7 linked regions of the Oryctolagus cuniculus genome follow. The protein of the gene in region 7 interacts with the protein of the main gene of each other region in a pairwise test. Links are inferred from orthologs where the notes say so. Each region holds a gene or a part of one and is shown on either strand. Other genes may lie near its edges.

Evidence for each region.
Region 1: the proteins of NME7 (region 7) and NEFL interact in binary tests that used the Homo sapiens proteins (3 or more experiments, as listed by UniProt). The two-hybrid records come from large-scale screens. The link is inferred for Oryctolagus cuniculus from reciprocal best matches to the Homo sapiens genes NME7 and NEFL.
Region 2: the proteins of NME7 (region 7) and CCHCR1 interact in binary tests that used the Homo sapiens proteins (3 or more experiments, as listed by UniProt). The link is inferred for Oryctolagus cuniculus from reciprocal best matches to the Homo sapiens genes NME7 and CCHCR1.
Region 3: the proteins of NME7 (region 7) and FOSL1 interact in binary tests that used the Homo sapiens proteins (3 or more experiments, as listed by UniProt). The two-hybrid records come from large-scale screens. The link is inferred for Oryctolagus cuniculus from reciprocal best matches to the Homo sapiens genes NME7 and FOSL1.
Region 4: the proteins of NME7 (region 7) and NAB2 interact in binary tests that used the Homo sapiens proteins (3 or more experiments, as listed by UniProt). The two-hybrid records come from large-scale screens. The link is inferred for Oryctolagus cuniculus from reciprocal best matches to the Homo sapiens genes NME7 and NAB2.
Region 5: the proteins of NME7 (region 7) and FKBP6 interact in binary tests that used the Homo sapiens proteins (3 or more experiments, as listed by UniProt). The two-hybrid records come from large-scale screens. The link is inferred for Oryctolagus cuniculus from reciprocal best matches to the Homo sapiens genes NME7 and FKBP6.
Region 6: the proteins of NME7 (region 7) and CFAP141 interact in binary tests that used the Homo sapiens proteins (3 or more experiments, as listed by UniProt). The two-hybrid records come from large-scale screens. The link is inferred for Oryctolagus cuniculus from reciprocal best matches to the Homo sapiens genes NME7 and CFAP141.

The regions. Positions count from the first base shown.
Region 1 is NC_091433.1:49,228,057-49,232,310, forward strand, and holds the start of NEFL (neurofilament light polypeptide), read left to right. Parts: upstream 1-1,454; 5' UTR 1,455-1,590; coding exon 1,591-2,637; intron 2,638-3,586; coding exon 3,587-3,711; intron 3,712-4,154; coding exon 4,155-4,254. UniProt on the Homo sapiens protein: Neurofilaments usually contain three intermediate filament proteins: NEFL, NEFM, and NEFH which are involved in the maintenance of neuronal caliber.
Region 2 is NC_091436.1:139,347,023-139,349,894, forward strand, and holds part of CCHCR1 (coiled-coil alpha-helical rod protein 1), read left to right. Parts: intron 1-2,534; coding exon 2,535-2,647; intron 2,648-2,801; coding exon 2,802-2,847; intron 2,848-2,872. UniProt on the Homo sapiens protein: May be a regulator of keratinocyte proliferation or differentiation.
Region 3 is NC_091432.1:5,875,060-5,879,029, forward strand, and holds the start of FOSL1 (fos-related antigen 1), read left to right. Parts: upstream 1-1,170; coding exon 1,171-1,326; intron 1,327-3,292; coding exon 3,293-3,490; intron 3,491-3,970.
Region 4 is NC_091442.1:59,719,723-59,723,650, forward strand, and holds the start of NAB2 (NGFI-A-binding protein 2), read left to right. Parts: upstream 1-1,128; 5' UTR 1,129-1,703; coding exon 1,704-1,786; intron 1,787-3,198; coding exon 3,199-3,928. UniProt on the Homo sapiens protein: Acts as a transcriptional repressor for zinc finger transcription factors EGR1 and EGR2. Isoform 2 lacks repression ability.
Region 5 is NC_091450.1:50,639,309-50,643,608, forward strand, and holds the start of FKBP6 (inactive peptidyl-prolyl cis-trans isomerase FKBP6), read right to left. Parts: upstream 2,801-4,300; 5' UTR 2,698-2,800; coding exon 2,641-2,697; exon of another isoform or gene 2,491-2,640; coding exon 2,349-2,490; exon of another isoform or gene 2,289-2,348; intron 2,003-2,288; coding exon 1,913-2,002; intron 1,136-1,912; coding exon 933-1,135; intron 137-932; coding exon 17-136; intron 1-16. UniProt on the Homo sapiens protein: Has an essential role in spermatogenesis. It is required to repress transposable elements and prevent their mobilization, which is essential for the germline integrity.
Region 6 is NC_091438.1:44,196,539-44,200,578, reverse strand, and holds the start of CFAP141 (cilia- and flagella-associated protein 141), read right to left. Parts: upstream 2,801-4,040; 5' UTR 2,699-2,800; coding exon 2,585-2,698; intron 2,246-2,584; coding exon 2,205-2,245; intron 1-2,204. UniProt on the Homo sapiens protein: Microtubule inner protein (MIP) part of the dynein-decorated doublet microtubules (DMTs) in cilia axoneme, which is required for motile cilia beating.
Region 7 is NC_091438.1:29,352,343-29,356,315, reverse strand, and holds the start of NME7 (nucleoside diphosphate kinase homolog 7), read right to left. Parts: upstream 2,801-3,973; 5' UTR 2,647-2,800; coding exon 2,644-2,646; intron 1-2,643. UniProt on the Homo sapiens protein: Possesses an intrinsic kinase activity. Displays 3'-5' exonuclease activity with a preference for single-stranded DNA. Does not seem to have nucleoside diphosphate kinase activity.

The sequences.
Region 1 (4,254 bases), on a different chromosome or scaffold from region 7:
GTGCAGTGCCTCTGGAAGCAACTGTGGTACCACTCAGGGAAAGCATATCACAGGCAAAGAGATTCTGATTTCTCCATTTGGAAAGTTTGCTTCTGTAAAAAAAAAAAAAATCAAGTTGATGTCAAATGCTGTCATGCAAATAAAACAAAAGCTAAGAGCATGCTTAGAAAAACCTTAGGGATTTTATGTAAATCTCTGCAATTCTCCCCATGAACCCGTAGAACTCCAAACAACCCCTGTGGAAAGGCGTATCCACGTGCTGTAAGGCGTGCACATTGTTTCAGGTATCCGGGTGCTTTCCATAAGAAACCCATAGATTTCTGACTGCCTTTCTAATCTACCTAACATAGCGACCCGACGGAGGAATCACGCGGCTGCTTTGGCTGCAAGCTCCAGGAGTTCTCTCCGGAGACCACACCCGACGCCTGAGGCTGGCCGCCGCAGCTTCCCTATGAAAATCAGCCACCTGCATGGCCTTTCGAAATCATCAGGTTGGGTGTTACACAGGTGTACAAAGCGGGCAAGGGGGCTTTTAATAGGAGGGAGTCGGTAGTGTCAAGTCCACGAAGCAGGGATTTAGCTCGGGGAAGTTCCAGCCAGGCAGCCTGAAGTCAGTTGCCCGCCGTAGAGCGAGCCGCCGCCTAGCAAGCGGGTCTTCTCCTTGGTAGCGTCACTCTTCCTCTGCTTCCCTCCGTCTACCCGCGTCGTCAACACACCGAAAGCCTCCAAGGCTTTCTTCCCCACAAAGAAGAAAATTTAGGAAGCCAGAGGCAGTGCCCTACAGCTTTAGAAATGATAAAAGGTAACACCTGCAATGCACGCCGCAATCGCGCACGTGTGTAGGTAGGGGGGCAGAACCCTGTGGGCTGAGAAGCAGCCCACCAACTCCGGGGGTCAGGGGGCCCAGGAGAAAGGTAGATTAATTAAAGAAAGTGCCAGAAAAACTGCAAAGAAACGCGAAACTTTCCTCGCTAAATGCCGCATACGTGCAACCACAGCCTATTCTCCTCTCAAACCACTAGCGACACTGCACCGTCGCCATAAACACTAAGTGGGGAAGAGGGGTGATCAAAGAGGTCCCTGGTGGGAAGCGGTGGGCTGCGGGCCAGGGTCTCCGAGAGGTACCGGGTTATGGAAAACTAAGTTGTCAGTGGGCGGCGAGAACCAATGGCTGGGGATACTTGAGCATCTGAGTGATACGTGGGTCCCGGGGTAAGCAGGCTGCGGCTGGCTGGGTGGGAAAGGACAGGACACAGGTGCGGGGATATAGGGTCTCAGAGAACAGAAAGGGCCTCAGAGAAAAGTGCAAAGGAGAAGAGCCGCAGCTCAGCGGCCCCGCGCCGCCGCCCCCGCCCTCCGTTTTGCGCAGAATCCTCCCCTTGGCTGCAGCAGCGCGCTGCCCCCACTGGCCGGCGCGCCGGGATCGATCGCAGGCTGCGTCAGAAGCCTCGCGGCGTATAAATAGGGGTGGCAGGACGGCGCCGAGCCGCACACAGCCATCCATCCTCTCCTTTCCCTCTCTCCCCCGTCCTTCTTTCTCTCTCCAGGCCCCATCTCCGGCCGCGGGCCAGAGGGGCACCGGCCGCCACCATGAGTTCGTTCAGCTACGAGCCGTACTACTCGACCTCCTACAAGCGGCGCTACGTGGAGACGCCCCGGGTGCACATCTCCAGCGTGCGCAGCGGCTACAGCACCGCGCGCTCCGCTTACTCCAGCTACTCGGCACCGGTCTCCTCCTCGCTGTCCGTGCGCCGCAGCTACTCCTCCAGCTCCGGCTCCTTGATGCCCAGCCTGGAAAACCTCGACCTGAGCCAGGTAGCCGCCATCAGCAACGACCTCAAGTCGATCCGCACGCAGGAGAAGGCGCAGCTGCAGGACCTGAACGACCGCTTCGCTAGCTTCATCGAGCGCGTGCACGAGCTGGAGCAGCAGAACAAGGTCCTGGAAGCCGAGCTGCTGGTGCTGCGCCAGAAGCACTCGGAGCCGTCCCGCTTCCGGGCGCTGTACGAGCAGGAGATCCGCGACCTGCGCCTGGCTGCCGAAGACGCCACCAACGAGAAGCAGGCGCTCCAGGGCGAGCGCGAAGGGCTGGAGGAGACCCTTCGCAACCTGCAGGCGCGCTATGAGGAAGAGGTGCTGAGCCGGGAGGACGCCGAAGGCAGGCTGATGGAGGCGCGCAAAGGCGCTGACGAGGCGGCACTCGCTCGCGCTGAGCTGGAGAAGCGCATCGACAGCCTGATGGACGAAATCGCCTTTCTGAAGAAAGTGCACGAAGAGGAGATCGCCGAGCTGCAGGCGCAGATCCAGTACGCTCAGATCTCCGTGGAGATGGACGTGTCCTCCAAGCCCGACCTCTCCGCCGCCCTCAAGGACATCCGTGCACAGTACGAGAAGCTGGCCGCCAAGAACATGCAGAACGCCGAAGAGTGGTTCAAGAGCCGCTTCACCGTGCTGACCGAGAGCGCCGCCAAGAACACCGACGCCGTGCGCGCAGCCAAGGACGAGGTGTCCGAGAGCCGCCGCCTGCTCAAGGCCAAGACCCTGGAGATCGAAGCATGCCGGGGCATGAACGAAGCGCTGGAGAAGCAGCTGCAGGAGCTGGAAGACAAGCAGAACGCCGACATCAGTGCTATGCAGGTGCGGCCTGGTGCGAAACACGGCGGGGGCGGGGACCTGCAGAATGCGGGGGTCGGGGCAGGGGGAGAGTTGAAGCTGCGCCCAAAAAGTGGAGACCAGGGCTGGTAGGGGTCGCACTGTGCTCCCAGGGGACGGTGTGGGAGGGGCGGGGCCCTTGGGTGGGGCGGGGCCGCTACTGCAGTCTGGGTGTGTGAGTGGTGCAGTGGAGTCTGAGTTCCGCATTGAAGCTGCCCAGCGTGGGAGGGGTCAGGCGGGGGCGGGGGAGAGGTGGGAGTAGGGCGTTGCCCTGGCCTGCAGGGATGTCGGGCCATCTACCTACCTGCATTCACCTGAAGTTACTTTGCAACACCAGTGGGATCACCTGGTTAATAACCATAGCGAGTAAGTCTTAATTAGTCCCGAAAGGTTACTGTGGCCAGTATATTTTATGACTGGTTAAGTACCAGCTACTCCTCCCCTTAGCAGGTGGACAGGAACCCAGACAGATTTGTCTTGGGTAACTAGCTGGGGAGCAGAAATATAGGAAATATTTTAGAGAAAGTATAAGCAATTTAGCTACTTCCTTCTCTTATGAAGAAATGGATGAATTTTCTGGATTGTGACCTGGCTAAAGTGGAGTTAACCCATAAATGAGAATCCAGCCTTTTCTGTCAAGTTAGTTTCCATGCAGGCATATTCTGATGCTCCTTAGATTGTACTAGTTGAGGATATTGTCTTAAAGGAATGTTCTTTCTTTAGTTTTTTTTTTTTCTTCTCATGCTTCATGAAGCTGGATATTTTAGGCGAGAAATATTTTCAAAAAAGAGTGAGCAGCTGTTTTAGGGGAGATTTTTATTAAAGGTGTGCCCCTCGACTCTAACTGAAACTGAGTGTTTGTAACTGAGCTACAGTAAAATGATAGCAGTAGGAATTGATGCTTAGATTTTCTTCTTTTTCTGTCTTCCAACAGGACACGATCAACAAACTAGAAAATGAATTGAGAACCACAAAGAGTGAAATGGCACGATACCTAAAAGAATACCAAGACCTCCTCAATGTGAAGATGGCTTTGGATATTGAGATTGCAGCTTACAGGTAACAACAGAAGGGCAAAGGTAGTAGCCAGAAAGCCTTGGAAGAAAATCAGATGCCATTTAGATCATGTTGAACCAGAAGCCTTCTGCAATAGCCCTCTGAAATGAGATATTATTATGATTAGTTTGCTTCTTCGAAGGAGCAAGTGTTTAGACAAATATCAAAGAACTTTACCCTGTAATATTAAGTCCTGTTTTTAGCTTCTCATTACACTTAAAATCTAATAGAACTATTTAACGTACTTTATTCTGTATCCCCCCACCCCCAGTCTCATTCATAAAATTCCTAGCCATTGGATATTGGTAATTCCCAGCCCTCTCTTGTTTGCATTTGCCTGTAGGATGGCATTGGGAGAACAGATGAGAGGTGGGCTTAGAGCAAGTCATTAAATACACTTCCTAGGTTGTTTTAATTTTAACCCTACCCTCTGTTGGTCTCCCCAGAAAACTCTTGGAAGGTGAGGAGACCCGACTGAGTTTCACCAGTGTGGGCAGCATAACAAGTGGCTACTCCCAGAGCTCCCAGGTCTTCGGCCGGTCTGCC
Region 2 (2,872 bases), on a different chromosome or scaffold from region 7:
TAATCCATGTAATGCTACATGCCTGCTGCTAGATCTCGCATCTGCAATGCCGTGCCCGGTCCCTTCTTTTTTTTATTCTTAAAGAGTTATTTACCCATTTGAAGGTCAAAGCTACACAGAGAGAGGAGAGGCAGAGAGAGAGAGAGAGGGAGGAAGGGAGAGAGAGAGGTCTTCCATCCTCTGGTTCATTCCCCCAATTGGCTGTAACAGTCGGAGCTGTGCCGATCTGAAGCCAGGAGTCAAGAGCTTCTTCTGGGTTTCCCACGTGGGTGTAGGGGCCCAAGGACTTGGGCCATCTTCTACTGCTTTCCCAGGCCACAGCAGAGAGCTGGATTGGAAGTGGAGCAGCTGGACTTGAACCGGCGCCCATATGGGATGCTGGCACTGCAGGCAGTGGCCTCACTTGCTGTGCCACAGCGCCAGCCCCGGCCCGGTACCTTCTAAGGCAGTTGCAGCCCGTGTCCCTCATGCCGACTTGGTAGTCATGGCCTTGCTGAGGCTGTCATAGAGCCTTGGGAAAGAGCTGCTTCGTGCTAGTAGCGGCCTCCCCAGGCACCGGGGTCCTTGGGATGGGCGGTAGGCGGTCCGTGTGGAGCCCTTGGTGCGGTGCTGGTGTGTAGTTTGTGCTCTGACTGTCCACGGTCCTCACAGGGCTGTCCTGGATGCATCAGGGGAGTTCTGGGGGTCAGCAGGATGGGCCTTTGCAGCCACGGCCTTCTCTTGGATTCACTCCTTGGGAACCCATTGGCTTGAACAAACTGGGAGCCATTTGCAACCTGCTCCGCACCGGCCTGGGTATGCGAGCCAGCACCCAGATTCCGCCCGTTGCAGCTGCGCCTGCCTCCAGGAGAGCAGAAAGACAGGCCGGGGGCAGGGTTTCCTGTGGTGCCCAGGGGTCAGGCAGGGTTCTCGCTGAGTTCTTGCCAGAAAGCACCAACTTTGGGATGTTACCAGGTTGGCGACACAGTCCCTAGGTGACTCAATGGCTGTGTCAGAAGATGGATCTTAAAGTTTTTCTTAAATTTATTTTTTATTTGAAAACCAGAGAAACTGAAAGAGAGAGAGAAAGATAGCTCTTCTGTCTACCAGTTCACTTTCCAAATGCCCACAGCAGCTGGGGCTTAGCCTGGCCTAAGCCAGGAACCCAGAACTTGATGTGGGACTCCCACGTGGGTGGCAGGGACCCAAGTACCAGAGTTGTCACCTGCTGCGGCCTCCCATGGGGTGCACTGGCAGGAAGCAGAAGTTGGAAGTGAAGCTGGGACCTGAACTCATGTGCGATGCAGACGTCCCGAGAGGCGGCCGTGTTGTTGACCTCTGCTCCTCACACCCACCCCTGGAAGTGGCTTTAGAGCCACGGCCTGTGCTGGGCGCTCCCACCGAAAGGGTTCCTCGCTGTACTTGCTGTGGTCACCGCTTGTTTTTCCGTCTCCGAGGAAGCTCCAGGCCTGCCCCCGTTTTCCCCTTGGGCCTCCTCCCAGGGCTCCCAGCTGAAGCCCCTCAGTTTTCATGGGCCGTGCTGGTTCTGCTTCTGGGCCAGCAGCTGATGCCACTCACAGACCTGCCCTTCACGTGTCAGGGAAACCACACTCCTGGGCTTGTTCGAGAGCTGCGCAGCAGTGATCCAAGACCAGGTGGTGAGAAATCAGCTTTAGGGCCGGCGCTGTGGCGTAGCGGGTAAAGCCACGGCCCAGGAAAGCAGTAGACGATGGCCCAAGTGCTTAGGCCCCTTCACCCATGTGGGAACCCTAGAAGAGGCTCCTGGCTTCGGATCAGCCCTGTGGATGGAACCAGTGGATGGAAGAGTTCTCCCTGTATGTCTCTCCCTCTATTTCTGTAACTCTGCCTTTCAAATAAATAAGTAAATCTTAAAAAAAGAAAAAGAAAAGAAGCCCCGAGTTTGCCTGAAAAGATAAGGCAGTCGTCTGAGGCCTTCTTGAGGGGCAGGGGCTCCTTAGACATGGAAGCTTCGGGCCGTGTTCTTCCACCACAGACGTGGCGCGGCGTCCAGCGCCAGGAATCCCAGGCCCTGGAGACGGCCTCGTGGCCTGCAGGGGAGCGAGTGGCCATCAGGCAGAGACCAGGCCCTGCGGCGTTGTTGTCACTGAGCCCTTTACAGCCTGGGGCGCCCGGGGCCAGATGGGGCTCCTTGCACCTTGCTGTGTTGATTGCAGGGCTTTTATTGGGGACACTGGTTCTCAGGATCCAAATGAGAAGTTTACTCTGCATGGGTTGTGGGACCAGGAATAGCTGTGCTTTTTAAAATATTTTTATAAGCAACCAGATCGTATTTCTGTGACAGTCGCTAAAAGGCTAAAGCTCCTCCCAGGTTTTGTTTTAGCAGCTGCAGCATAGGGCATGAGGTTGGGGCACACGTGCCCCAGGTCCTACCCCTAGCCTCTCTTGTTTCCCTTCCCTGCTTCCCCCCACCCCCACCTGTGCGACAGTGCAGGATGGGGGGAGGGGTCTGTGCAGGCCCCAGGCCCTGTGGGGGTGAGGTGCGGGTCAGCGGTCAGCGGCCTGTGCTCCTCCAGCTCCCAGGTCTGCCTCCAGAGCACCATGGCTAAGGTGGAGCAGGCGGTGGCCCGGCTGCCCAGCCTCAGTAACCGACTCAGCTATGCCGTCCGCAAGGTCCACACTGTCCGCAGTGAGTTGGGGGTGGTGGTGGGCTCTGAGCTGCATCCTGGCCCAGCCCTCTGATCCCTCGGCCACTTCCTCCTCCTGCTCACCAGCCCACACGTTTCTGCTTCCCGGACTCCCCTTGCAAACTCAACCTGTCGCTTTCCATCTTTTCTCTCCAGGTCTCATGGCTCGAAAACTGGCCCTTGCACAGCTGCACCTGGAGAGGTAAAGTGTGGGCAGTGTGTGTGTG
Region 3 (3,970 bases), on a different chromosome or scaffold from region 7:
CCGCGAGAGACGCCCACTGCCTGCGGGGGCTCTGGATCCACACTTGTGGTCGCTCCTGCGGTCGCCCCAAATAATACATTTTGTCTGTGGACCGGTCACAGCGCTAGCTGCTTTGCGGGGGGGGGGGAGTTAAGATACCCCACCACTTCGGCGGGGCCTGTCATTTACCCCCTGGAGCCTAGGGACAGCAGCGGCAGAGGAGCATCACGTGGCCTCCAGCAAATCGTGAGAGCCAGAATTAGGTACCACGTGTGGTTTTTTTTTCTTTTTCTTTTTTTTTCTCATCCATTTGGCGGCTTCCAGCGGGTCCACGTTCTTCATCCCAGCCTCCCCGGCGTGGCAAGGTTGCTACGCGTCGGCTTCGTTCTATTTCGCCGAGGCCGGCCCAGGTCGAGCGGGTTCGCAGGCTCCCGGCAGGTGCGTAAGTCCGCGGGGGAATCCTCGGCCGCACCTGGGCGCGGCGAGGAAACCGCACCATGTATGGGCAGCTACGTCAGAGGGGCGGCCCCGGCGCGGCGGCTGCTCGGGGGACGCCTCGGCGGCCCCTTCCCCCCGGAACGGTGGGCGGTGTCGAGGCGCCCAGGGCGCCCAGGCACGGGGCGGCGCGTCCGGAGAGGTGGAGCCCCGCGGGGACCCGCGCCGCCGCGCACGCCCCGCCCCCCGCGGTCCCGGCGGCTCAGCCCCACAACTTTTCATTCATAAAACGAAGACTCCGCGAGGTGCGCGTGAGTCAGAACGCAAGCCTCCGACGCGGACCGCGCGGAGCAGCCGCCAGCCCAGGGCATGTACCGAGACTTCGGGGAACCCGGACCGAGCTCCGGGGCCGGCGGCGCGTACGGAGGCCCCCCGCAGCCCCCCGCCGCGGCGCAGGCGGCGGCCCCGCAGGTGAGAGGGAGGCACACCGGGGTCCCTGGGGACAGGGCGGGGGGACGGCGCCTGGGACCCCGGAGGCAGTCCCCGCGCGCCCCGCTGTGGAAGCGGCGAAGCCTGGGGCCGGGACCGCGGGTTCTGCCCATTCTCCGCAGTCCGGGGGCCAGCTGCCCCCAGAACCCAGAGGGACGCGCGCCCGCCCCCTCGTTCCCTGCCGCCGGCTCTTCCCTCCCGGGAACCTTCTTTCTTACCTGCGGTCCACTGCTCATTTGTGCGTCCCGCCCGCCTCGGAAGGGACGTATGACGTCCGGGCTATGTCCCAGCCCCGGGCGGTCAGCAGACGTCTCCCCCTTGGCATCCCGCGCCTGGGATACGTCGGGAACCCCTGGACGCAGCAGGAAGGCGGGATCTGTCGGTGACCTCCTGTGTGTCCGCCCCCGTCTACCGCGACGTCAGGTTCCAGCCCCCTCCTCTGCGCGGTGCAGCCGGGCTCCGGGGCGGTGGGACCCTCTGGGCTCCCGGTGGCCGGCTGTCCACCCCGTGGCGGAAGGACTCAGACAGAGACTGGGCCAGGTGCCGGGGCGGACGCCAGGGACAGCTCGCGCGCCCCTGCCCTCGGCACCGAACGGCGCCCACTGCAGGCTGGGGGCACTTGGGGAGCTGCAGGTGCCCATTTCCTGTCGAGGGGCGGCGAGCACGTGTCGCCAGGGGAGGGAAGGCGCGGCGTCCGTTCCGCCGAGTCACGGCGGCCGAGTCACGGCGGCTGAGTCACCCGCGGCGCCCCTCCCTTCCTGGCCCCGAGTGGCCCGGGCCCGGACAAACTCCGGAGCTGGGGACGCCGCCGGCAGTGCCGCGGGCCCGGAACTGGGGTCGCTGGGCCGCTGGGCTCGCACTGCGAGGACTTGCCTGGGCTTGCGGGGCGCTTCCCGGCCGACCAGGCGCCCACACCCAGGGCCCGTCCGGAGGGCTGGAACCCAGTTTTTCCAGAACAAGGCGCCCCCATCCCAGCCCAGTCCTCAGATTTCTGGTAGAAAGAGAAGGGTCCCAGTTAGCACTGGAAGCACTGACAGCCATGCCAGCCTTGTGCTGGGCGCTGGGCACTGGGCACCTCCGTTACCGTATTTCGTGGAATCTAAGACCCCGTGGAGTAAAAGATCCACAATTATTTGGTGTCACTAAGTTGTTTAAGTTGGTGTGTCTGATTTCAGAGCTTATTAGATGGTACTTCCTTTTTTTTTTTTTTTTTTTTTTTTGGACAGGCAGAGTGGACAGTGAGAAAGAGAGAGAGAGAAAGGTCTTCCTTTCGCCGTTGGTTCACCCTCCAATGGCTGCCGCGGCCAGCGCGCTGCGGCCGGCGCACCGCGCTGATCCAATGGCAGGAGCCAGGTACTTATCCTGGTCTCCCATGGGGTGCAGGGCCCAAGTACTTGGGCCATCCTCCACTGCACTCCCTGGCCACAGCAGAGAGCTGGCCTGGAAGAGGGGCAACCGGGACAGAATCCGGCGCCCCGACCAGGACTAGAACCCGGTGTGCCGGCGCCGCAAGGTGGAGGATTAGCCTAGTGAGCCGCGACGCCGGCTTGGTACTTCCTTTTTTTTTTTTTTTTTTTTTTTTTTTTTTTTTTTTTAAGAAAATTATTTACTTGAAAGAGAGTTATAGAGAGGCAGAGACAAAGAGGTCTTCCATCTGCTGGTTCACTCCCCAAATGGCCACAACACCCAGAGCTGAGCTGATCTGAAGCCAGGAGCTTCCTCTGGGTCTCCCACATGGGTGCAGGGGCCCAGGCACTTGGGCCATCTTCCACTGCTTTCCCAGGTGAGCAGCCGGAACCGGCACCGGCACCCGTATGGGATGCTGGCACTGCAGGCAGGGACTTTACCCACTATGTCCACAACCACAACGCCGGCTGCTAGACTTCTTAGCATCAATGAAATGCTGCGATCCTCCTCTGTGATAACAGCAAAATGGGAAACTGAGGCACACGGGGATGAAATAGCTCGCTGAGTCCCCTGTCAGTGGCTGAGCAGAGCTGAGCAGTGTCTCCCCCGTTCCCTCGCCCCATTCTCGCAGCCACCGCAGGCGCTCCGGGGCTGTCCTTGTCCCCCCAGGGGGATGGGTACAGGAGGGGCCGAGAGCCCAGCTTCTGCAAATGGAGCCCCTGCTGTGCCAAGCACATGGGTCAGTGTTTGTGGCCAGGAAGGTGTCTGGCAGTGAGCAGAGAGGTTGTGTGCCCTGCCCACAGTCACACAGCTCGTGAGCAGGGATTTGCCACCCATCAGTGTCTCTGGCTGCCAAGCCGGGCTCCTTCTGGTCTCCCAGAACCGGCATCTGCACGGAGGGTGGACGGCGGGAGAGTCTCTCTGCTCGGACCTCCTTGAGCCACGCAGACCTCACCCTGGCCCTCCGTTCCTTCTCCCCCAGAAGTTCCACCTCGTGCCCAGCATCAACGCTGTGAGTGGCAGCCAGGAGGTGCAGTGGATGGTGCAGCCTCACTTCCTGGGGCCCGGCAGTTACGCCAGGCCTCTGGCCTACCCCCAGTACAGCCCCCCACAGCCCAGGCCAGGAGTCATCCAGGCTCTGGGGCCGCCTCCAGGAGCACGTCGCCGGCCCAGCGAACAGGTGAGGGGCGCTGGTTCTGGGTGCCCAGGCATGCCAGTGTGCCAAAGGCATGCTCTGGCCACAGCGGAGAGCATGGGCTCAGACCGGCCGGGGAAGGAAGGGCCACTGCCGGGGAGGAGGTGATGGGCGCTGCTGGGGAGGCCCGCAGGGCAAAAAAGGTCACCTCTGCACCAGGGAAAGCTTCCTGGAGGAGGCGGCGCAGGGTTGCACGTGCTGAGATGAAGGGAGGGACAGTCCAGGCACAGGGGCTGGCAGGAGCCAAAGGGGAGGGGGGGAAGGCGAGAGGGTCTCCATGGGCTGCCGTGCACGGAGAGGGTGGGCTTAGGCAGTGCAGCTGCAGCAGCAGTGGGAGGGGTCCCTTCAGTTCCTCCCTGGATCTGTTTCCCGTCTCATTTAACTCGGACATGGACCCTCTGCCTCCTGCGTGTCTGCCTCTCCTCATCCCTTAGCCAAGAAGTGCAGGCACGGAGGTGTCCGGCA
Region 4 (3,928 bases), on a different chromosome or scaffold from region 7:
TTCCCGCCGCCCCCACCGCGTCTGGAGCTTCCTGGGATGGAGAAGACAATCTGAACTACTGAAATCCCGCCACCAACAAGGCCACCCCTCCTTCCCTGCCCCCACCAGAGACAGCAAGGTCCCCTGGCCAGGCCGGAATGTAGAACCAGCCCCGGCCCACGCCACCCACCCCCCGGCTTGGCCACTCAGAAGCGCGGAATGGCGGGGCGGGGCTGAGGCTTCGCACCAGGAGTACCCTCGCCTTCGGCCAGTCTGCTCGCTTCCCGCCGCCCCCACCTCAGTTCCCCTGGGCTTAGAGCCGCTGGGCCAGGCCCTCGGAGCCCCCGCCTGCACACCTCCCCCCCTCCCCACCACCCTCCGAGCCGTGGGCGGGAGAGAAATGGGAACCAGATGGGCTAGGAGAAACCCAGGGGGAGGTGGGCTGCGGAGGGGGCTCGGCCCCGGGGAAGGCGCCCCTCCGGCCGCAGCCAGACACTTCGGGAGCACCCGGTCTCTGCTCGCCGCCCGGACTCATAGGTGTCCCAGAACGGTATCCTTATCCTACCTGGGACACACAGCGGCCGAGGAGCAGGGCCCCGTCCTGGTGCAATGGGCGGCGGCGAGCAGAGGAAAGCGGGGCGCACCCTCCCCCCCCCCCCCGCCGCCGCCGCCCCTGCTGGCCGGACTAACCAACCTGGCGCGGCAGAGCCGCGCACGCCGAATTGGTGGCTTCTAGCATGGCCCGCCCATCCCTGTTTAAAACTTCAGCAACGACCCGAGGCCGGCAGAGATGGAGGCGGCCCGGGTCTCCGAGAGCGGCCCCTTCCAATCTTTTCGTTTGAGGGCAGGGGAAGGGCTGGGATACCCAAGGGATCCTATAGCGCAAGACTGCTGGAGGAGAGGCACGCGCTGGAGGAGCCGCGCGCCCTGAGCCCTTCGCCAACTTTCGCCGGCTGGCTCTCCGCATCCGCACGTACGGCAGCGCGAGGCCTGCGTGCGGGTAGCGGGCGTCCGCGCGGTTGTTGAGGCGCGTGTGCAGTCCTTGCGCTTCCCCGTGTCTTTGTGTACCTGTGCGTGGTTGTGCAACTCCTCTCTCCTCTCGGAGAGGTAGGGGTGGCGGGGGGGTGGGGGGGAGTAGGAATGTCGCCGGCGGGGCGCTCACGTGGGTACGTGGGTGCGGAGAGGGCCGGCTGTGCATCCGGCGTGGGCGGCATGGAGCGACCTCGCCCCGCCCGCCGGGCCCCCAAGCCCGCCCTCCGCAGCCCGGCCTCGGTCACCTCGGTCCCCAACTCGGCTCCCCGGCTCCGAGTTCCCGCCCCCGCCTCCCGCTCCACACCCCCTCCCCCCCAGTCTCCGCCTTTCTCTGTCTCTCCGCCGCGGCGTCTCGGAGACCGAGAGGCCCGGGCGCCCGCCCCCCGCCCCCGGCCCCAGCCCCCGGCTCTGCCCACGCCCTCCGCCCGCCAGCCCGGCAGCCAGCGCAGCGCGGGGCCTCGCTCCCCGTGCGTCCTGCGGGGGTGGAGGCGCTGAGAGGCGGCGAGAGCAGCCGGGGAGGGGGGGTAGAGGCACAGACTGAGGCGCGGAGGCTCGGAGAGAGAGGACGTGGAGGGAGGGACGGAGCCTGGACAGCGGTGGACACGGCATCGCGCGCAGGGAAGAGCGCAGCGCGCAGCAGGCGCCGAGCGCCGGGCATCCGGAGGGGCAGCCTGGGTGGTCTCCGGCCGTCCATGCACAGAGCGCCCTCCCCCACAGCTGAGCAGCCGCCGGGCGGAGGGGACAGCGCCCGCCGGACCCCGCAGCCCAGACTCAAGTTAGTGGGCAGAGGGAGACAGCGGGGAGTGGAGATGGGTGGAGCTGGACTGGGAGTGGGGTCCGGAGGGCGGAGGTCGCGGCGAGGACGTGGGGAACCGGGACGGGGGTGGGAGGTGGAGACTGATGAAAAAAGGGGGTGCGTCTTCGAATGAAGGGACCCTGGGAGCAGCCGAGGATCCGCTGCAACTTGATGTGAAAGAGCGGCACCTGATTCTCCATTCCCAGTTTATTCGGTGGGCCTGAACTGGCGTGTGAGCCCCCTGTAAAGACTGTGGGAGTCCGCAAGTGCCAGGAGAAGCCCAAGGACTGGAGTTGGCAACAGTACCCGGTGGGGCGCATTCAGCCGGCTCAGTCTGCAGCTGGCGCCGAGCGCTGCCCCCCCCCCGGGGGGGGTCCCGCACACGTCGGCGCCTTTCAGTTACGGGAATAGCAGCAAAGCCCTGAGCAGCCAGGGGGTGCCTTCGGCGTCCTTTGCCCCTGCTGCCCCTTCGTTCACAGCGTGAAGAGGGGCGTCTGGGTGTGCAGCCGCTCCCCCACTCCACTTGAAAGTGTGGGTGGAAATTAAGGGAGGCGAGAGTAGGCGGGAGCCCCTAGGCGGGGTTCGCCCACAGACGCTACCGCTGTGGGAGTGTGTGTGGGCGGATTGGCCCCAGAGCAGAACAATCGAGCTCCCCTCCCCTCCCCCACCGTCTGAGCTGAAGGGACAGAGGGGAGTGAGTGGGGAAGGTCACTGCTTGGAGAGGGGCCAGCGGGGCGCGAGGGGAGGTTACTGGGCAGCATGGGAGGGCGGAGGGGGCGGGGTGGAGAGCTAAGGTGCATCAGGAGTGCCTGATCCCTGGGCTAGCTGAGGGGCACAGGAGCAGGGGTCAGCCTGGCTCCTAGTGGGAAGACCAGGGAAGGGGACACACCCCTCCCTCCCAGCCACCCTGGTAGAATGCCCCCAAGGGAGTGCAGGTGGCTCGCAGTGGTCCCCAGTGTCCACTGTGGGAAGGATGAGTGGGACATTCCCCTTAGTGTGTGATGTCACTTGTGTTGAGGTGTTTAGGGTGGAAGGTGAGGGCCAAGTGTTTTGGGGGAGAGAGGGAGGGCCAGCCATCCCAGGGGTGTGCCTAAGGTCTTCTTACCCCTGCCAGAAAGGGCAAAGCTGAGGATGGGGTGGGGGTGGGGGCGGTGAGCCTTTGACTCCCGCCAACAAGGCCCTGGCTTTGGGTGCTTCTGGCTAGTGTGGGATGTAGTGGCATGTCAATGCCTCCGAGTAGTGCCCAAGTCTCAGAGTCTGTGCTCAGTGCTGGGCGCTGCTGGGCAGAGGGAGAGAAGAAACCGACGGAGAGAGAGAACAATTGTTAGTGTGGGTTGGTACCCAGCCGGGGGCCTTGCACTCACTGTTTCTCTCACGCCCCTCCTTCTCAGGCCCAGTGCCCGAGCCATGGCACTGCCTCGGACGCTGGGGGAGCTGCAGCTGTACCGGGTCCTGCAGCGGGCCAATCTCCTCTCCTACTATGAGACGTTCATCCAGCAGGGAGGGGACGACGTGCAGCAGCTGTGTGAGGCCGGCGAGGAGGAGTTCCTGGAGATCATGGCACTTGTGGGCATGGCCACCAAGCCCCTCCACGTGCGGCGCCTGCAGAAGGCACTGAGAGAGTGGGCCACCAATCCAGGGCTCTTCAGCCAGCCGGTGCCTGCCGTGCCTGTCTCCAGCATCCCGCTCTTCAAGATCTCCGAGACTGCGGGTACCCGGAAGGGCAGCATGAGCAATGGACACAGCAGCCCAGGAGAGAAGGCGGGCGGTGCCCGCAGTTTCAGCCCCAAGAGCCCCCTTGAACTTGGAGAGAAGCTGTCGCCACTGCCGGGGGGTCCTGGAACGGGGGACCCCCGGATCTGGCCGGGCCGGAGCACTCCAGAATCAGACGTTGGGGCGGGAGGGGAAGAAGAGGCTGGCTCACCTCCCTTCTCCCCACCTGCAGGGGGAGGAGTCCCTGAGGGGACTGGGGCCGTGGGTCTGGCAGCGGGTGGGACTGGGGGGAGTCCAGACCGCCTAGAGCCAGAGATGGTGCGCATGGTGGTGGAGAGCGTGGAGAGGATCTTCCGGAGCTTCCCCAGGGGGGACACCGGGGAGGTCACGTCGCTGCTGAAGCTGAAT
Region 5 (4,300 bases), on a different chromosome or scaffold from region 7:
TCCCCAGCACCCTTACCCGCTTGTATCGTGCTTTGGCATCACAGAAACGATTCTGGCGGAAAAGGTAGTTGCCAAACTCCCGCTCCGTGGCTGCCACTTTTAGGACCTTCTGAAGTGGAAACTGGTCTTGCTGCTCCTGGAGACCAGATAAGAATAACCAGCAGTGGACCCCAAAAACCATCCTGCCCCGAGGGGTTGGCTCTCTTATATGACAAGCTGTCAACCACTTCCCGTGTGTGCAGAGGCCCCTCGCGGGGTGGGGCCGAGGCCAATCCACAGCTGGAGCCCTCCCACCCTGTTCTCCGAAGCAGCACTTGCCCTGGAGCTAGGAGCTGGGGGAACCCACCAAGCACAGGGATCAGGGCTCCCGGCCTCGATGCAGCCAACAAGCAGCGAATGGCGCTGCCATGCCCAGAGCCCTGGTAGCCTGCATGGTCACGCAGCGCAGCCCTGGCTACGTATCAGAATCACCCACAGGGCTCCCGGTCCCGGACCCGGCCCGGAGACCCTAAGTCGGGCACCAGCGGTGGAACCCGGATGTGCCAGAGTAAGATGCACTATCGTGCCGAAGCCAGCGCCCACGACTGCTGATGGGCTTGGCAGGCCCAGAGCGAGGCACGGGGCTGAGTGTCAGGCTGTGAGGCACAGTGACTGTGTACCCTGGCTTGCCGGGCCCGGCCCGGTCTCCACCCGCTGGCCCAGGTATCCCAGTCGGTTACCAGCCCCTTTCAGTCACAAGCCCCAGACAGGACAGTTACAGATGTCCTTGCTGAGACGCCACGCTTACTGCTGACGATGTCTCGTGGCGACAAGGCCAAGGGTGGCTGTGAGCCCAAGGTGCTGCCCCAGAGCCGACGGCGGGCACCAGGAAGCGGAGGTGCGGGGCCTGGGCCAAGCCTGCAGGGAGCCGCCCAGCACCCACAGCCACTTACCGCAGACAGGGCGCAGAACGTGTCCGACTCGGCCGAGTCCAGGAAGTCCAGCAGCTCGATCTCGAACAGGACGGTGGTGTTGGGGGGGATGAGGGGCGGGCAGCCCAGCGCCCCGTAGGCGTAGGTGGGCGTGAACAGGAACCTGGCCAGCTCTCCTCTGCGCATGCTCAGGAGGCCCAGCTCCATGCCCCACAGCGTAATGTCTGCAAGAGATGCCCAAGTGGAGAATTTCCTGCGGCCAGGGAGTGAGGCTGTGAATAGCCAAATGGCCTCTGGCAGAAAAAAGGTTCCCCGTGCGAGGTGCGGCTTTGCTAAGCACACCTGCAAGGCTGCTAACTCCTAGGCCCTCATCTGACTCTCCCCCAGGGGTCGCCTGACCATGGGTCAGTTTCCACCACCTGGTGAAGTCCTTAGTAGGAAAGCAGCTGCGGATCGTGGGCCTGGTGCTGTTGCATCAGTGGGCTAAGCCTCCACCCGCGGAGCTGGCATCCCACACAGGCACTGGTTCGAGTCCCAGCTGTTCCACTTCCAATCCAGCTCCCAGCTAATGGCCTGGGAAAGCAGCAGAAGATGGCCCAAGTGCTTGGGCCCCTGCACCCACGTGGGAGACCCAGCAGCTGCTCCTGGCTCCTGGCTTCGGATCGGCCCAGCTTGGGGAGTGAACCGACAGATCTATGACCTCTCTCTGTCTCTCCCTCTCAAATAAATAAACAAGTCTTTAAAAAAAAAAAAAAAGCTGCGATCTCGAGTAGTTTTCTCTCCTCCCAAGTATGTCTGCAAGACGTCCACTTGATAAACAGGACACAGAAGCCCACAGGCAACCTTGCCAGGCAGGCCATCTCTCAGACACCCAGGTTTCAAAGGCAAACACGGAGGGGAGGGGGGAAGAGTGTGACTGCCTGACCACACTCCAGCCTCAAAGCACTGGGCGGTGGGACCCCCACCCCGACCCCCGGCCGCCCCCCCGGGGGGGCATTTACCCTCTCCAAGTTTCATGAGCCGTGGAGACTTCCTAAAGCAATTGGAATCGAAGGGTTTGTCCATGTGCTCCAGGTAGCCAGAATATTTGACTGGGACCCAGAAGGGGAGGAAAAAAAAAAAAAAGAAAGAATGAAAATGTAAGGGAGCCCCCAGCAGAGACACCTGCTCCTTCTCCCACACAGCGGGGCCCCTCATGGGCTCTGACAAAAGGGAGATGGGGGATGGGCAGTGGGGGGGGATGGGAGGCAGGGGAGGGGGGTCCCTCCCGGGGGGAGTCCCTTCCCGTGAGGGGGGTCCAGGGGGTCCCTTCCGGGAGGTTTCGTGGGGGGGGGGGTTAGGCCCTCCCTCTCCCCCTATCGCAAAGGCAAACACAGCCGTCGCGCACGCGCCTTGTGAGCGCGGCCCCCGCCCCCGCGCCCACCCCAGAGGGCTCACGCGGGGGCCTGGTCCCCGTGGTACCGAGCACCGACGCGTCGGGCGTCACCAGCTCCCCGACGCCCTCCCGGATGACGTCCTTGAGCACGCCGCGGTCCCCGGAGATGTCCAGCATCCGCTGACTCAACCGCTGGTACACGGACTGCCGGAGACCGCAAGACGGCGGGCCTCAGGGCTCCAGCCCCGCTGCGAGCCCCAGGCCCTCGGCGGACCGCACCCCACGACCTTACAGCCCCCACCCCCACCCCCGCCACGAGCCTGCCGGGCCCTGCCCCACCGCCCCCATTTATACCAAGCAGTCCTCTCCCGACGGCGCCATGCCGTTCCGGGGCCGCGCGAAGCCGCTCATGCCGTTGCTGCAACCGCCGCTCGCGCTGTCGCACGCGCGGGGAGCACGTGCCTGGGGCTGGAACGCCGCGGGCACGTGACCGCGGTGTGCGCATGTGCGTCGGCCCGCAGTGGCGGATGGGGTGCGTGCTAGGGCTGATGGAGTGGGGGACACGTGACTGGGGCCACGCAGAGCGTGATGACGGGAGCACATACACCTTCGTGAGGGGGCAAGGAGCGCGCACCGGGGACGTGCGCGCCGAGGGCGGCGGAGCGCAGGTGACAAGGGCCGGCAGAGCCTGTGGCCTGGGGCGCGTGCTGGGGCGCAGGCCGTGGCCAGTGAGACGTGGAGCGTGTGGTGGAGGGCGTGGGGAGGGCGCCGGGAACCGGACGGAGGCGTGGCCGGGGGCTGGAGCAGGCTGGCAGGGGCGCGTGCTGCTTCCCTGCTCTGTTGCCTTTCGGGGGCCGCTGGGTCCAGGAGAGGACTTTGGGCGTCAAGCCGCCGGGCCCTGGGAGGAGAGGCGAGGTACCCCAGCTTGCTAAATAAGAACCTGCTGCACCTGCCCCTTGGGATTAAGGAGGGCTCTTGATTGGCTCCTGGCTGTTCCCCGGGTCTGTCTCTTGTCTTGACTTCGGGTTCATTTCCTGCGGCTTCTGCTTGCCTTAAAGCCTCCCCCCTCTCTTTTGTTGTTGTATTTGAAAGGCAGAGCTACAGAGAGGTCTTCCATCCACTGGTTCACTCCCCAGATGGCTACCACGGTGGCTGGGGCTGTGCTGGGATTCGCACGTGGGTGCCCGGGCCCAGGCACTTGGGTCATCTGGTGCTTTTCCCAGGCCATTAGCAGCGAGCTGGATCGGAAGTGGAGCAGCCAGGACTCACACCGAGGCCCGTGCCAGCATCTCAGGCAGCAGCTTTACCCACTCTGCCACAAGGCGGGCCCCAACAGTGGGTACACTTGATCACTCCGACCTTTAACTACTTTTTTTTTTCTTTTGCTTTCTGAGTTTTTATCACTGTTGCAACAGAGTAGCACGGAGCTCTGCAGGAAACTACACCTGCTTTAGTAGAAGTCCAGTGCTGTTCTCCCCAGCCTAGAATCAGAGTGGCAGCAAGGCTGCCGATGGACTGGACACTCTGGGGAGAATCCAGCTCCCTGCAGGTCCCCGTCTCCCTGTTGGCTGTCACCTTTTTATTTATCTATAAATAAAGAGGCCACACTATTTATTTATTTATTTTAAGATTTATATATTTATTTGAGAGGCAGAGTTACAGAGAGAGGGAGAGACAGAAAGAGAGAGATCTCCCATCTGCTGGTTTACTCCTCAGATGGCCACAGTGGCCAGTGCTGGGTCCCAAGCACTTGGGCCATCAGCTGGGAGCTGGATTAGAAGCAAGGCAGCTGGGACATGAGCTAGCACCCATATGGGATGCTGGCATCGCAGGTGCAGTTGTACCTGCTACCGCACAATGCCGGCCCCTTGAAGTGTGATTCCTGTGGGGGGGGGGCAGGGCGGCCTCTTACTGAACCTCTATCCTCTCTGTTCAATGCCTGACATTGAAACCTCAGGACATGAGACTGGAGGGGTTGACAGGGAAAGCCAGCATTCGTGGGCGCTACTGGAGG
Region 6 (4,040 bases), about 15 Mb from region 7:
TCTTTTGAGTCTCCTCATTCATGTTTTCAACAAATAAATACTGCAATAACTAACAAAAAATTAGTAGAAAGCTGGGCAAGAAACTTGACTTTTCCTTAAAAATAAGTGGGACGGGCCGGCGCCGTGGCTCAATAGGCTAATCCTCCGCCTGCGGCGCCGGCACACTGGGTTCTAGTCCTGGTCGGGGCGCTGGATTCTGTCCCGGTTGCCCCTCTTCCAGGCCAGCTCTCTGCTGTGGCCAGGGAGTGCAGTGGAGGATGGCTCAAGTGCTTGGGCCCTGCACCCCATGGGAGACCAGGAGAAGCACCTGGCTCCTGCCTTTGGATCAGAGTGGTGCGCCGGCCGCAGCGCGCCGGCCGGGGCAGCCATTGGAGGGTGAACCAACGGCAAATGGAAGACCTTTCTCTCTGTCTCTCTCTCTCACTGTCCACTCTGCCTATCAAAAAAAAAAAAAAAAAAAAAAAAAAGACACTGGTGGGGATGCCTGCAGGCCATATTGGAGTGCCTGGATTTGAGTCTTGGCTCCACTCTGGGTTTCAGCTTCCCGCTAATGTGGATCCTGGGAGGCAGCAGTGGTGGCTCAGATAATTGAGTGGTGGCTCAGATAATTGCGCTCCCACTACACATGTGGGAGACTTGGATTGAGTTCCTGGCTCCTGGCTGTGGCTAGCACCTGGGGAGTGAACGAGAGAATGAAGCTCTGTTTGTCTCTGTCTCCATGACTCTCAAATAAATTTTTTTTTTTTTTTTTGACAGGCAGAGTGGACAGTGAGAGAGAGAGAGACAGAGAGAAAGGTCTTCCTTTTGCTGTTGGTTCACCCTCCAATGGCCGCCACGGCCAGCGCGCTGCGGCCAGCGCACCGCGCTGATCCGATGGCAGGAGTCAGGTACTTATCCTGGTGTCCCATGGGGTGCAGGGCCCAAGCACTTGGGCCATCCTCCACTGCACTCCTGGGCCACAGCAGAGAGCTGGCCTGGAAGAGGGGCAACCGGGACAGAATCCAGCGCCCCGACCGGGACTAGAACCCGGTGTGCCGGCGCCGCAAGGCGGAGGATTAGCCTAGTGAGCCACGGTGCCGTGGCTCAAATAAACCATTTTTTAAAAAATATTTACTCAATAGGCAGAGAGACAGAGAGAGAGAGAGATCTTCCATCTGCTGGTTCAGTCTCCAAATGATCACAACGGCTAGGACTGGGCCAGGCCAAACTTCATCCTTGTCTCTCACTGGGAGTACTTGGGCCATCTGCGGCCTTCCCTGGCACATTAGCAGGAAGCAGATTGAACGTGGACGTGGACTAGCCAAGGCTTGAACTCGTGTTTGATATAAGATGCTGGTGTCACAAGCAGCGGCTTAACCTGCTACACCACAATGGTGGCCACAATAAGTACATTTTTATAAACTTATTTAAAACATTTTTTAAAAATAGATTTTTTTAGGGCTGGCGCCTTGGCTCACTTGGCTAATCCTCTGCCTGCAGCGCCGGCATCCCATATGGGCGCCGGATTCTGTCCCAGTTGTTCCTCTTCCAGTCCAGTTCTCTGCTGTGGCCCAGGAAGGCAGTAGAGGATGGCCCAAGTGCTTGGGCCCTGTACCCGCATGGGAGACCAGGAGGAAGCACCTAGCCCCTGGCTTTGGATCTGCATAGCTCCGGCCGTAGCAGCCATTTAGGGGGTGAACCAACGGAAGGAAGACCTTTCTCTCTGTCTCTCTAACTATCTGTCAAATGAAAAAAAACATGGCTTCTTTCGATTTTCACCCTAGCTTCATTGAAAAAAAAAAAAGATTTATTTATTCATTTGAAAGGTAGAGAGAGAGGAAGAGACAGAGATCTTCCATCCACTGGTTCACTCCTTAAATGGCCACAACAGCTAGGACTGGGCCAGGTGGAAGCCAGGAGCCTGGAACTCCATTCAGGTCTGCCACATGATTGGCACAATACTGGCCCCAATAAATACTTTTCCAATAAAGTAAAGCAAACATCGGCTTGCCCCTGTGTCCCGTCAAGAGGGAGGAAAACAGGGGGAAATAAAACCGTACAGTCTGGTGGACTAGCCGAGTGGCCACTAGGAGGCTGATCTCTATTTGCTTTGAGCACAAGGCTGCTTCCCCTCCTCATATTCCTTGATGAGACCCTGACATGATGAAGCAGAGTTGGGAGGGGGCAAAGCCGAAGGGTCGGAGAAGGGGAGGACATAGAATTACCTGTCAACCATCTTCTTAAAGTCCGTGAACCTTTGAAAATTCTGCAAGAAAAGAAGTTGTGCTGACCTGCCGTGATCTCCAGAACCTCAGCCTCAGTACCCTCTTGCAGTGGGAGACACACAGGCCTTCCTCCTCGGAGACAGGCAGTGGTCAGATTGTAGGGGAAGGAGAAAGCAAGCTCTCCACCTTCACATGCAGGGGCTGGGGTATTCACCTATTTGAATACCTACTAAATGCTGGACAGTCTTCCACTCCTGTTAGTAACTTCATCCTTCTGTGACATCAAGGGCCTTTCCCAGTAAATGGTGCACTTCTGGGCAATTGGCCTGGAAACCTAATTAACATACTTTCAGCCCAGCCCCTCGCCCAACTGCACGTACCTCTTCTGTCTTCATCATCTTTTCCATGGACATGTCTGCAGACTTGTTTGATTCAGTCTTAGACTGAGTAGGCTCTCCTTTCTGTTTAGCTGTCACCGAGGTTTCAGTAGTCATAGCAACATTTCTGCCTCCCAACAATGTCCCTGAGCCTGCCAGTGGATTGGTCACCCAGCCTGTTGGCCTGGAGACCCGAAGGTAATCCTGGGTTTTAGCCTTTTATTAATGACACAGGCAGCTCTGTGAGCAAGTGCCACTGTCCCTATTTCAGGATTTCTTTTGTTGGGCTTCTCAACTTACCTGTATAGTCCTAGGTCCAAGGTATACAGAGCCCCAACAGTTCTCTATAGGCAAATGTTCATACCTTATCAGGAAGGTGCAGAGAACATATCGTATACCCATTTTTAAAGACTATTCCATGTGAGCACTTGGTCTAGCAGTTAAGATGCCCTCGTTCCACATGAGAGTACCTGGGTTCAAGTTCTGGCTCCCTCCCTGATCGCAGCCTCTTGCTGATGCAGACCCTGGGAAGCAGCAGGTGATGGCTTGAGTGGTTGAGTCCTTGTCACCCATGTGGGAGACTTGGAACGAGTTCCAGACTCCTGGCTTCAGTCTGGCCATTGTGGGCACTTAGGGAGTAAATGCCCACTTTTAAATATATATACACATACATATTTATATAGATATATATATATATACACACACATATAAGATTTTATTTGAAAGGCAAAGTTAGAGAGAGAAGGGGAGAGAGAAATATCTTCCATCCACTGGTTTACTCTCCAGATGGCTGCAACAGCTAGGGTGGGGACAGATTGAAGCCAGGAGCCAGGAGCTTCTTCCAGGTCTCCCATGTGGGTGCAAGGGCCCAAGTACTTGGGCATTCTTCTGCCATTTTCAGGCATATTAGCAGGGAAACGGGACTGAAGTGGAGCAGCAGGGACTTGAACCAGCATCCATATAGGATGCCAGCGTAGCAAGCAGAGGCTTAACCTGTTTCACCATGTATATTTTTAGTAATTCATCTTATTGAAGTTATTGTATAAAATCATATCAGTGCATTGGGAAAACCATTTCTTCACACACATAGCCTGGAGTAAATTATGGCAGGTGTCAGAAAATTTTTTTCACAGCATATTTTTAAAAAATTTGAGTTAGAGGGAGAGAGATCTTTTATCTGCTGGTTCAACCTTCAGATAGCCTCAATGGCCAGGCTGAAGCCAGGAGCCAGGAGCTTCACCCACTTCTTACATATGGGTACAGGGTCCCAAACACCAGGGCCATCTTCCAGTCCTCTTCCAAGCCACCACCAGGAAGCTGGATTGGAAGTACACTAGCAGTGACTTGAACCGCCACCCATACGGGATGCTGGCATCACTGGCAGCAGCCTTACCTGCTACACCACAACTGCCTAGTGGATAGGATGAGTCTTGTCAGGAAAGCTGTTAATCCTGGTTTA
Region 7 (3,973 bases):
GACAGCCACCATCCTCAGTTGCTGATGGAGAGACCCCATCTTCACAGCCATACAGACACCAGAGGCTAGACGGAGCACGGTTGATTGCTCTCCACCCTTCCTGATGAAGGACTGACATCCAACAGCATAGGAGAGATGCTGGATACAGAAAGAAATGTGATCATTTCACTCTAGCCAATTTTCGCCTCTTGTTAAATTCCTTTCTTTGCCACACATTAAGAACACTGTCATTAGATGAAAAGACAAATCTGTATGCTTCTGATTTTAACTGCTTTGCCTTTTAAAGTATATGTTGCTCTAAGTATATAGTATCTTGAACTTTGTGGATCATGACTCACAGTAATATGTTTTATGTCATAACCCAGTACATTCACAAAATATATACAATTTAAAACAAAAGTTCATGAAAGCTACCCTCACGGCATGCAGTAGATGTGGTAAGTTTCTATGTTAGTCTTCTTTGTTAATGCTGGCTACACACCACAAATCTACTTCATGACAGAATAATAGGTCACCTCCAACAGTTTGAGAAACATAAGCCTCGCCAAGTAGATGATATATAGCTAGACAGACAGACAACAGACAGTCTGGCATCTGCATACAGACTGTATCTCATGTTATTCTGCCCCATGTACCTCCCAAAGCAGCTAACCCTGCACCACCTCACAACCCAGTTTCTATTTTTGTACTCTATTAAACCATAAGTTGCTCAAATTTATGCTTGCCCCTTTCTGCCTCAGGAACTGTGATCTTGTTAGTGCACCCTGAAGATCCAGATCAGCACGTTTTGTATCATTTAGGTCTCAATACCAAAAGTCCTTTCTTCAGAAGGGCCTTCACTGACCATCTAATTGAAAGAATCACCAACCATGAAACCCCAGCCAGGATGGGAACAAAGAAGGCAGGCAGAGCACTTTACTGCTGTTTGCTCTTAGCATTGCCGGAAACTCTGAGTGAAAACAGCAAACAAAGCAAAAAGTAGCAGACAGGAAAAATAAACAGTATTTAATGAATGTCACTTTTCAGCTCCCTATGCCACTGCACAGGTCATTGAATTCTAAGCACTGATATTCTCTACCATTTGCCACATGACGGCTTTAACGATGCTCTAGCTGAGAAGTGAGGACTCTGTCCTGCAATCTCCTTCTCGTTCAGACCACTTACCTCATTCTTTCCTCTTCTCTTATGCATTCAGCAAACATTTGAGTGCCAAATATGCTCTAAGCAATAGCAGTGAACATAGTAAACATCTATACCTCTAACAGTTCACAGTTTAGGAAGGGTGACAAAGCTATAAACAAATAATTTCAAGTAAAGGTGGTATCTACAATAAAAGAAATGTGTACTATATACAGTGGTGACAAGAAAGAATAAACAGTTACCTCTTGTGGAGTGTAGGAAAAGCCATGACAGAAAGAGAGACACTTAAGCTGAGTCTTGGAAGGATCAATAGGAGTTTCATATGCAAGAAAAGGGAAAAGGGCAGAAGCAGTACCATGTGCCAAGCAGAGGGAAGAGACATACTGCCAGTTTGAAGTTGTCTGCTATGTTCAGTAGTAAGTAGCTAAAAGGCAAACGGCTAAAAGGAGTATCCAGGAAAGGGACAGCCAAGAAAGAAGCTAGAAAGGTAAGTGCTAGCTTGTGGAGGGCCTCTTGTGTGCCATTCCAAACTTTACTGTAGGAAACGGAAGTCTAGACTTTCAAAGAGGTGAGTAGCATTAACAGATGGGAACTTAGTAACTTCTTCCTTGTGGCAGAAAAAACGATAGATTAGAAAATTGCCAGACCAGACTGTAAAAGAAATGAATATAATAGCTAACGTAAAAATGAGGAAATTCTAAACAAAAATAATGACCAATTGAATATGGGAAATGTCAGAGAAAGGGGAATGTAGGATGTCACTGATTTCTAGTTTCAGTTATAATACAGTGGTATCATTAAATAACATGGTGAAAAACAGGAGAAACCAGGCAGAAAGACAGCAAAATCACTTATAGGCTTATTGAAAATGGAAACATGGAGCCTCATCCCTATTCATGCAAAAATTTAGGAGGGAAGCTCAAGCAAGTGAATTCTAGAAGCTCTCAAGTGATCCTGAAAGTTATTCCTGTTAAGCAGCACGGACATAGCAGGTAGTCAGCTGGATGCAAGCGAGCCGATCCACTCTACAAATATGATTAAGGGGCCTTTACAGAGTGTGGGGCAGTGCTCTGGCACTCCGCGGGGCAGACTCCAGGCCCTAGCGAGATTCGGGCCAGTGTTGCCACAGTCACCTACACACCACCATCTGCCTTTTAGGTGGAACGTTACTGTGAAGTCCACAAGCCTGAAAAACGCACTGATGAATAATGCATACCCAAAAGAGGAGGCTGGTTTGAAATAATATCTCACCTGAGGCTCCGCGTCTTAACCCTAAACTTTCTGTTGCCTTACTTTAAGGGCTTACGGTAATATTAGAGCGGAATTCAGGGCGCTGCAAGAAACAGAATGGGGAGAATGCAGGGACAGCCCACGGCAAATGGGGGAGAGAGAATGGGGAGAAGACAGGGTTGCGGACGCCTCCGAGGGCCCATCGACCCAACACTTGCGAAGCTGCGTAACCAGGAACCCGGAGCGGCTCTTCTGGTCGGCCTTAGCACTCACCATAGTTTCAGGATCTCAGCACGAGGAAGCCGAGTTGCCCCAGGAAGGCACCGCCATCCACACCATCATCCGGTTACTCTGGCAACAGGGCCCCGCCCCCTGCCGGACACCCCGGGAGACGTCAGCGGTCAGCCCCTTCGTCCCTAGTGGCTGGGAGTCCTCGCAGTGACGCCCAGCTCATTGACAGATCCGCCCCTTCACGCTGTCTCCTGGGGCGACAGGACGCCTCCCGCCTCTTGCCAGCATTTTCACTTCCGTTTGGTTGGCAGATGACCCGGAAGTTTAAGTTAACACGCGGCTAGGCGCCAAAGAGCGCACTATTTTATTTTGAAATAAACCCCTCTCCAGCTTTCCATTGATGAGGCGAGACGCTGTATCGTCTGCGTTACTTGAATTTAAACGCACCACAGACTGTGTGTTCTCGCCTCTGTGGGAAGAATATTCCGGAAGTGAAACCCTGGGTAATCGGAAGTGATCATGACTGACACAGCGGCTGGTTGTCCGGAAGGCCTGGGCGGGTCTGCTTCGGCATGGGCGAGGAGCGAATCCGGGAACCTGTAACGTGAAACCGCCGAAATAGAAAAGGAATCCCGAGGTAACTTAGACGATAGGCTTGTGTAACTCCGAGGTGACGCTGGAGAGGCGCGCGCGTCGGTCGGAGCTCGGTGGCCAGTGGCGTCGGGTATAGAGAAAGAGTGGACCGGGGAGGCTTGTTGTGACAGGAACGAAACTTGGCGTTGGAATCCCCGGGACAGCCACGCCTGCAGCCTTGGTTCCTGGGCATCCTGGGTATTTGCCGTCAGACTGGCTGCTCCTGTACGTTTCGCAGCCGGTCTTCAAAGCGCGGTTTCAGGACTCGGTACGCCGGGTGCCTGTTTTTAGAGCCGTGGAATATAAGTGGAAGAGGGTTTGTGACTGTTGAGGAACCTGTCTTGGGAGGCCTTAGACTCACTGATCGTTTTTGAAGCCGGGAGTGACCTGTTCTGTTCATCACATGAGTGCCACCCTCCTTGGCATGTTTTCCGGTAAATCTGAGTATACTCTAAGGTTGTGCATACCTTTCCGAAAGTATCTGTTCCATGTGTATTTCTCTCTGTTGTTAGAAGCAACATCATTTAATTTTTTTTTTTTTTTGACAGACCTAGTGACAGAGAGTTAGAGAGAGAAATATCTTCCATCCCCCAGTTCGCTCCCCAGATAGCCTCAACGGCATGAGCTGAGCCATCAAAAGCCGGAGATGCTTCTAGGTCCCGCACGTGGGTGCAGGGTCCACTGCCTTCCAGGCGCGCTAGCAGGGAGCTGGATCAGAAGTGGAACAGCTAGGACTCGA